Linked DNA regions of Xenopus tropicalis. The protein of the gene in region 1 interacts with the protein of each later gene in a biochemical or structural test. Links are inferred from orthologs where the notes say so. Each region holds a gene or a part of one and is shown on either strand. Other genes may lie near its edges.

Region 1 (4,086 bases):
TGGAGTTGGTCTTAAAGGAACAGTAACACCAAAAAATGAAAGTGTATAAAAGTAATTACAATATAATGTACTGTTGCCCTGCATTGCTACAACTGGTGTGTTTGCCTCAGAAAGACTACTATAGTTTATATAAGTAATCTGCTGTGTAGCCATGGGGGCAGCCATTCAAAGGAGAAAAGGCACAGGTTACTTAGCAGATAACAGATAAACCCACATTATATGGGGCTTATCTACTAGTTATCTGCTATGTAACCTGTGCCTTTTCTCCTTTTTTCCAGCTTGAATGGCTGCCCCCATGGCTACACAGCAGCTTATTTATATAGTAGCTTTTGTGTAGCAAAAAACACCAGTTTTTTGCAGAGCAACAGCACATTAAATTACTTTAAAACACTTACATTTTTTGATGTTACTACTGTGGCCATACACGTAGCAATTCCGATCTTTAAAGATCGTTCCCAGAAACAATAGAAATTCTACCTCCACCTGGCAATTCAGCCCTGAATGTAGATTTTGCTTGAACCTGGGCAATCGACCGATATCCGCAGCCTTCTGTGATATCGGCCGCCTCTTCGAGCCGCCATACACGCACCGAATAGCGTATGAAACGAGGTTTCGTATGATAATACTGGTGCGCGTATGGCCAGCTTTAGACCCAGTGGCAGAACTAAGAGTATTTGGGCACCGGTGCAACCCCACCATATCACCAGGGCCTTGGCCCCCATTCCTGCTTTCAGCCTAGTATTACTTTGGGATTTATGGGACGCTGGAATTTCTGGCCACATGGAAGCAGACCTTATCTGGTGGAACCTCACAGTGGAGATGAACCTTCACCCCTTTATTTATGTCACTATTGTGGGGGCGGGGAGGTTTATACAAATTCAGGGGAGGGGGGAGAATAGGATATTTCCATCAGGGGTGGCAACCAAACTATAATCTGTGTGTAGTGACACATATCAGTGTGTGGTGACACATATCAGTGTGTGGTGACACATATTATCTGTGTGGATTTATCAGTCACCTGTTACCTATTCATGCCTGTATCTATCTGACAACTATGTAACAGTCTCTGTATCTATCCCTCTGTGCCTCCATAACCCATTCATGAGCAGCCCCCGCACATGGACGGACCCTCATTCCCGCGCTTCCCCGTTTTCCCTCAGAGATCTCCTGCACACGCTTTGCGCGCCCCCGATGGCTCCTCCCATAAACTGACCATCCCCCCACCTCTCCCGTTCCCTTCCCCCACTCTAGCCCGCTGGCCGCAGGATGGTGCCTGGAGAAGATGGCGGACACCGAGGAGCTGCGGGTGAGGAGAGCAAGGGGGGGGGGGCAGGTGGCTGTCAGTGTGAGAGGAGGCAGAGGGAAGGGGATAAACAGGGACTGTAGCTGGCACAGACTAAATGAGTGCTGCCATTATGCATCATGTGTGTCCCCTCCCTGGGCACTGAGCCTTGGCATGGGCTTGGCACACTGTCTCCCAGCCTCTAGCATATAGACATGCACTGAGGCATGCTGGGTAATAGAGCCAAGAGGAGAGCCAAGGGTGGGAATGGCACAGTTACACTGTGACAGTGAGGCATGCTGGGTAATATAGCCAAGAGGAGAGCCAAGGGTGGGAATGGCGCAGTTACACTATGACAGTGAGGCATGCTGGGTAATATAGCCAAGAGAAAGCCAAGGGTGGGAATGGCACAGTTACACTGTGACAGTGAGGCATGCTGGGTAATATAGCCAAGAGAAAGCCAAGGGTGGGAATGGCACAGTTACACTGTGACAGTGAGGCATGCTGGGTAATATAGCCAAGAGGAGAGCCAAGGGTGGGAATGGCGCAGTTACACTGTGACAGTGAGGCATGCTGGGTAATATAGCCAAGAGGAGAGCCAAGGGTGGGAATGGCGCAGTTACACTGTGACAGTGAGGCATGCTGGGTAATATAGCCAAGAGGAGAGCCAAGGGTGGGAATGGCACAGTTACACTGTGACAGTGAGGCATGCTGGGTAATAGAGCCAAGAGGAGAGCCAAGGGTGGGAATGGCACAGTTACACTGTGACAGTGAGGCATGCTGGGTAATAGAGCCAAGAGGAGAGCCAAGGGTGGGAATGGCACAGTTACACTGTGACAGTGAGGCATGCTGGGTAATATAGCCAAGAGGAGAGCCAAGGGTGGGAATGGCGCAGTTACACTATGACAGTGAGGCATGCTGGGTAATATAGCCAAGAGAAAGCCAAGGGTGGGAATGGCACAGTTACACTGTGACAGTGAGGCATGCTGGGTAATATAGCCAAGAGAAAGCCAAGGGTGGGAATGGCACAGTTACACTGTGACAGTGAGGCATGCTGGGTAATATAGCCAAGAGGAGAGCCAAGGGTGGGAATGGCGCAGTTACACTGTGACAGTGAGGCATGCTGGGTAATATAGCCAAGAGGAGAGCCAAGGGTGGGAATGGCGCAGTTACACTGTGACAGTGAGGCATGCTGGGTAATATAGCCAAGAGGAGAGCCAAGGGTGGGAATGGCACAGTTACACTGTGACAGTGAGGCATGCTGGGTAATATAGCCAAGAGGAGAGCCAAGGGTGGGAATGGCACAGTTACACTGTGACAGTGAGGCATGCTGGGTAATAGAGCCAAGAGGAGAGCCAAGGGTGGGAATGGCACAGTTACACTGTGACAGTGAGGCATGCTGGGTAATATAGCCAAGAGGAGAGCCAAGGGTGGGAATGGCACAGTTACACTGTGACAGTGAGGCATGCTGGGTAATAGAGCCAAGAGGAGAGCCAAGGGTGGGAATGGCACAGTTACACTGTGACAGTGAGGCATGCTGGGTAATATAGCCAAGAGAAAGCCAAGGGTGGGAATGGCACAGTTACACTGTGACAGTGAGGCATGCTGGGTAATATAGCCAAGAGAAAGCCAAGGGTGGGAATGGCACAGTTACACTGTGACAGTGAGGCATGCTGGGTAATATAGCCAAGAGAAAGCCAAGGGTGGGAATGGCGCAGTTACACTGTGACAGTGAGGCATGCTGGGTAATATAGCCAAGAGAAAGCCAAGGGTGGGAATGGCACAGTTACACTGTGACAGTGAGGCATGCTGGGTAATATAGCCAAGAGGAGAGCCAAGGGTGGGAATGGCACAGTTACACTGTGACAGTGAGGCATGCTGGGTAATATAGCCAAGAGAAAGCCAAGGGTGGGAATGGCGCAGTTACACTGTGACAGTGAGGCATGCTGGGTAATATAGCCAAGAGAAAGCCAAGGGTGGGAATGGCACAGTTACACTGTGACAGTGAGGCATGCTGGGTAATATAGCCAAGAGGAGAGCCAAGGGTGGGAATGGCGCAGTTACACTGTGACAGTGAGGCATGCTGGGTAATAGAGCCAAGAGGAGAGCCAAGGGTGGGAATGGCACAGTTACACTGTGACAGTGAGGCATGCTGGGTAATATAGCCAAGAGGAGAGCCAAGGGTGGGAATGGCACAGTTACACTGTGACAGTGAGGCATGCTGGGTAATAGAGCCAAGAGGAGAGCCAAGGGTGGGAATGGCACAGTTACACTGTGACAGTGAGGCATGCTGGGTAATATAGCCAAGAGGAGAGCCAAGGGTGGGAATGGCACAGTTACACTGTGACAGTGAGGCATGCTGGGTAATAGAGCCAAGAGGAGAGCCAAGGGTGGGAATGGCACAGTTACACTGTGACAGTGAGGCATGCTGGGTAATATAGCCAAGAGAAAGCCAAGGGTGGGAATGGCACAGTTACACTGTGACAGTGAGGCATGCTGGGTAATATAGCCAAGAGGAGAGCCAAGGGTGGGAATGGCACAGTTACACTGTGACAGTGAGGCATGCTGGGTAATATAGCCAAGAGGAGAGCCAAGGGTGGGAATGGCGCAGTTACACTATGACAGTGAGGCATGCTGGGTAATATAGCCAAGAGGAGAGCCAAGGGTGGGAATGGCACAGTTACACTGTGACAGTGAGGCATGCTGGGTAATATAGCTATGAGGAGAGCCAAGGGTGGGAATGGCACAGTTACACTGTGACAGTGAGGCATGCTGGGTAATAGAGCCAAGAGGAGAGCCAAGGG
Region 2 (4,276 bases), on another chromosome or scaffold:
GCTCAATGGCACTCTGCAGCTCCAACCTGGCCCAAGGAAAGTCTCCCATTGGGCTCAATGGCACTCTGCAGCTCCAACCCGGCCCAAGGAAAGTCTCCCATAGGGCTCAATGGCACTCTGCAGCTCCAACCTGGCCCAAGGAAAGTCTCCCATAGGGCTCAATGGCACTCTGCAGCTCCAACCCGGCCCAAGGGAAGTCTCCCATAGGGCTCAATGGCACTCTGCAGCTCCAACCTGGCCCAAGGAAAGCCTCCCATAGGGCTCAATGGCACTCTGCAGCTCCAACCTGGCCCAAGGAAAGTCACGATACTGAAGCTGATGAATCCGAAACATTCATACTTGTTGCGACAAATACGATTTTGTTGTGCAAATTGTCAAAGTATGAAAAAGTTGTGCATATTAATAAAAAAGTCGCAAAAAAACGCACAGTAAGAAAACTTAGAAAAAATATGAATTATTTGTATTCGGAAACAATTGTACTTTGATAAATGTGCCCCATAGTGTTGATGGGGCCACTTTATCTACCTGTATGTTCTTATTATTAGAGGAAAGTGGAGTATCTGGAGAAAACCCACTGAGAGAAGTTACAAACTGAGCAAGATGACTGGAATCAAACCTAGGACTAGGGTTTTCACATTTACTGGATTTAAAATACTTCCCATACTTTTATCTTTGAGCCCTACTGATAACATTGGAATCAAGCATAATTTTCATGAGTCAGCTGTCAACCCTACATAGGTTTCCAGCGGCATTTGGATCACTAATACACTAAACTTGCAATGTTGCATTACCATGTGAAAATGTGCACCCTGAACGCTTGGCTACTGTCTTTATTGACATGAAAGTTGCACCAAGTGGTGCATGCAGTCATCTCTTTGCTATAATGACCCAATGATAACACTTCTGGCACTGCATGCAATTGTGAGAGGAAATGCTGCTCCACACAGTCCCGCAGTTCCAGTCACAGAGCTTCATTCTGTCCATGTTCTGGGAGAGTCACGTGTTTCACACCCAGGAGCCTGGGCTGAAGGTTACACGTTATACAGCGCACAAGCGCTTATTTATTGAAGGGGTGGGAAACTAATTGCAATACTATGTCCCCTTTCTCTGCATCTTCCTTCTTGTTACATTGCGCTCAGCTTCCCTCCCTTCCCCCACACTAGTGTCTGAGCGCGCTCCCGTCACCAACTCACCGCGTTAATGGAATAGTTGGAACTGGGCGGGGTTGCGCGTAGGGGGATGGGAACCATGGTCGCGCGCATCGTGAACGCGCATTAAGGTCACGTGACCCCCCTTTCGCCTATCGCACCGCGTTATAATGTTGGGGGTGAAGCGCGCCCCCGCGAATAAGCGTTAGAGAGGAAAAAACCTTCACAGACAGAAAAAGAGCGGGAGAGCTAGAAAAGGGCAATCATGTCTGAAGAGAAACCCAAGGTAAGCGAGATAGCGGCTTTTCCCTATCGGGGCTAGGGCGGAACGAGCAAGGAAAGGGTCAGTCGGGCCCTACGCGCAGAGGCCGGGCTGTGGGCACGGACATCAGGCAGAGACATTGGAGCCGGGCTGGTGTAAGCGTGCTGGCCTCTCCGGGGATGCCTGCTGCCTGGGCTCACTTAATAACGCCTCTCAAGAGTACGATTGCTTCTTGTTTTAGAAATACAGTACGTGGGCCTGTCGCTTTGGCTTGTGGTACCGACCCAAAGGGCAGGCCCGGTGCGTTATACCGTCATGTTGGTGTGACTGACACGGTGCTCCGTCCGGCGCTGAGCTGCCGCCATGTTGGGCCGAGCTGCGAGTTGGTTGCAAATCCCATGGCCCAGGGGACACACGTGTTACAGTGCGGCTCCATTTCCTCATGTCTCCCCGTGTGTCTCTGTACTGCCCACAGACATTAGCGTTCCCATTATTCCCCTTGGCACCAACCTCACCATATTGTGTGTCCCATTGCTCGGGGGGAGGGAACCTGACAATTGTGTTTCTGCAACTTCCGAAGCCTTGCATTGGGCTGCTAGTGACATACCCTACACAAGTCATATGGGGAAAGCACCAGGATACACCTATACCGATGGAAATACTACCTAATAATACCTTAATAGCATTGTGCGTGCTGCCAGCTAGGTTCATTTGATAAAAACCGCCTTAAAGGAGACCTCATGCGAAATAGAATGTAGCAGCACATTATACTCCTCCCCCAAACCCACTAGCCCCGCCCATCTGTTCCACTTCCTACTGCCTCCTTTCCCAGGCTGTGCAGGGGGGCCTGTAGCACACAGCACTGTAGGGTAGGAACCAATCAGCAGCTAGACTGACCTGATAGGGAACTGAAGCCTGTTGCTTGTGTGAGTGCAGGACTGTGATTGGCTCTCCCCTCTCCTGCTGTGCTTCTGGCGGGGTCCTTTAGGACACTCCCACCCCTCATTTGAAACACAGACAAGGACCTTGGAGGATTTATAGGGAGCACCATTTTTTACAGACAGTATTATGTTTTAGCTCAAAGTAAATCCAGCCCCATATATAATTCATAATTGCCTACAAGATTAGAAGTGTTTTCCTTTATCCAATATGTCTCCTTTAAAATATTCAGTTTGGTATTGCCTTAAAGGAGACATATCCTATAAAAATTAAGAATGTACCAGTGAATTATACTCCTCTAGATATAGAAGGATTGTGCTTAAAAAGTTGTGTTTCAGACTGATTTATTGAGAAATTCCACAAAACCCCACTAGCCCCGCCCATCTGTTCCACTTCCTGCTGGCTGAATTCTCTGGATGAGCTGGGGAGCCGGCGGCCCTCAGTACCCTGCACTGTAGGATAGGAACCAATCAGCAGCTAGGCTGACCTGATAGGGAATTGAAGCCTGTCTTTGCTTGTGTGAGTGCAGGGCTGTGATTGGCTATCCCCCTCCTACTGTGCTTCTGGCAGGGACCGTTAGGACACGCCCACTCTTCATTTCACACACCGACAGAGAAGCAATGGGATCTATAGGGAGCTCCAATAAAGGGGCCATTGTTACAGATAGGATTCATATTTAGCACAAAGGGAAACCAGCACTGTATATTATTCATAATTGCCTACAGGGTTAGGGTTTTCCCATTTATCTAATGTCTCCTTTAACTGTAATCCAGAGTCTCATCTAGAGCTCTTACTTTACATTTTATATCATGTTATTGGAAGCCAGCAGTATTCACACTAGCGACCGACTGGTGGTCCTGACCACTTTGCAGATCGCCACAGTACAATATGGGGTCAAGTAATATGGGCAGACCTGGCAGCTACTAACTGTTCTACTCAGCTCTGTGCTTTTGGAGCTGGTACAGGGAATACAAGTAAGGTGCTGTTGGGGGGGCAGATATCACGGGCAGATAAAATTTTCCATTCCAGACTTGAGAGCTGAAACATTTAAGTGACCCAGAGGCTTAATGGCTGAAGTCAGGCTGTTTTTGTCTCTATGGGTAGTCTATTAAGTCTTTGTAGGAGCAGTGCTGGCGTTGTCACTGTATATACTGCAGTACAAAATGTTCATCTTGGAGTGGTCATGATCAGATACTTACATAGACCTTGATAGATATCCCTGTCTCCTTCCCTGCCCTGCCTGTGTGTGTACGTGCCATATAGCTGTGCTATCCATTTCTTTCACATATGGGTTATGGGTGATATTGCTTCAGTAAACAGTGTGTTTGCCTGCGGTGCCAGTAGGTTTCATTTAGGCCCAGTTGGGTTGGGCACTTGATGGGGGGTACTTTCATTTGTTGTGGGTGAATTAACGCAAACCAGGCAAACTAAAATAGCTTAAGCATGTTCTGCCTCTAATTTTATGTAGTAATTAATATGTATTAGGCAGAGCTGGGAAGGACTTGTAGACCATGTGATTGCTTGTAAGGGCCAGTAATTGTATTGTGGAGCATAGCAGAAGCCACTGTAGGGAATGGCACAGTGGCATGGCAAGGATAAGTGTTTAGAACATGCATGAGCCCAGCAGCTGCTTTTTATTATGGAATAAAGTGGTGACAGTCTCTGGAGGGGATGGCAGTAGTCAATATATGCCCTGATATTTTTTGTTTATGTATATCAGAGGGCTATTAGTTGCTCTGCAAGCATGTGCGGAACCTTGTGTAACACTTTGGGGCACATTCATCAAAGTCCGAATACAAAAAATTAGTATTTTTTTTAAGTTTTAGAACTGTGCGTATTTTTTGCGATTTTTCGTTAATTTACGCAACATTTTTGTACAACTTGCGCGACAAAATCGTATTTGTCCCAACGAGTACAAAAGTTTCGG

The links.
Region 2: the proteins of pias2 (region 1) and sumo3 form a complex in vitro, tested with the Homo sapiens proteins (2 studies listed by BioGRID, with this or other methods). The link is inferred for Xenopus tropicalis from reciprocal best matches to the Homo sapiens genes PIAS2 and SUMO3.

What each region holds. Positions count from the first base shown.
Region 1 is NC_030677.2:206,564,512-206,568,597, forward strand, and holds the start of pias2 (E3 SUMO-protein ligase PIAS2), read left to right. Parts: upstream 1-1,198; 5' UTR 1,199-1,282; coding exon 1,283-1,306; intron 1,307-4,086. UniProt on the Homo sapiens protein: Functions as an E3-type small ubiquitin-like modifier (SUMO) ligase, stabilizing the interaction between UBE2I and the substrate, and as a SUMO-tethering factor.
Region 2 is NC_030685.2:55,089,586-55,093,861, forward strand, and holds the start of sumo3 (small ubiquitin-related modifier 3), read left to right. Parts: upstream 1-1,391; 5' UTR 1,392-1,413; coding exon 1,414-1,434; intron 1,435-4,276. UniProt on the Homo sapiens protein: Ubiquitin-like protein which can be covalently attached to target lysines either as a monomer or as a lysine-linked polymer. Does not seem to be involved in protein degradation and may function as an antagonist of ubiquitin in the degradation process.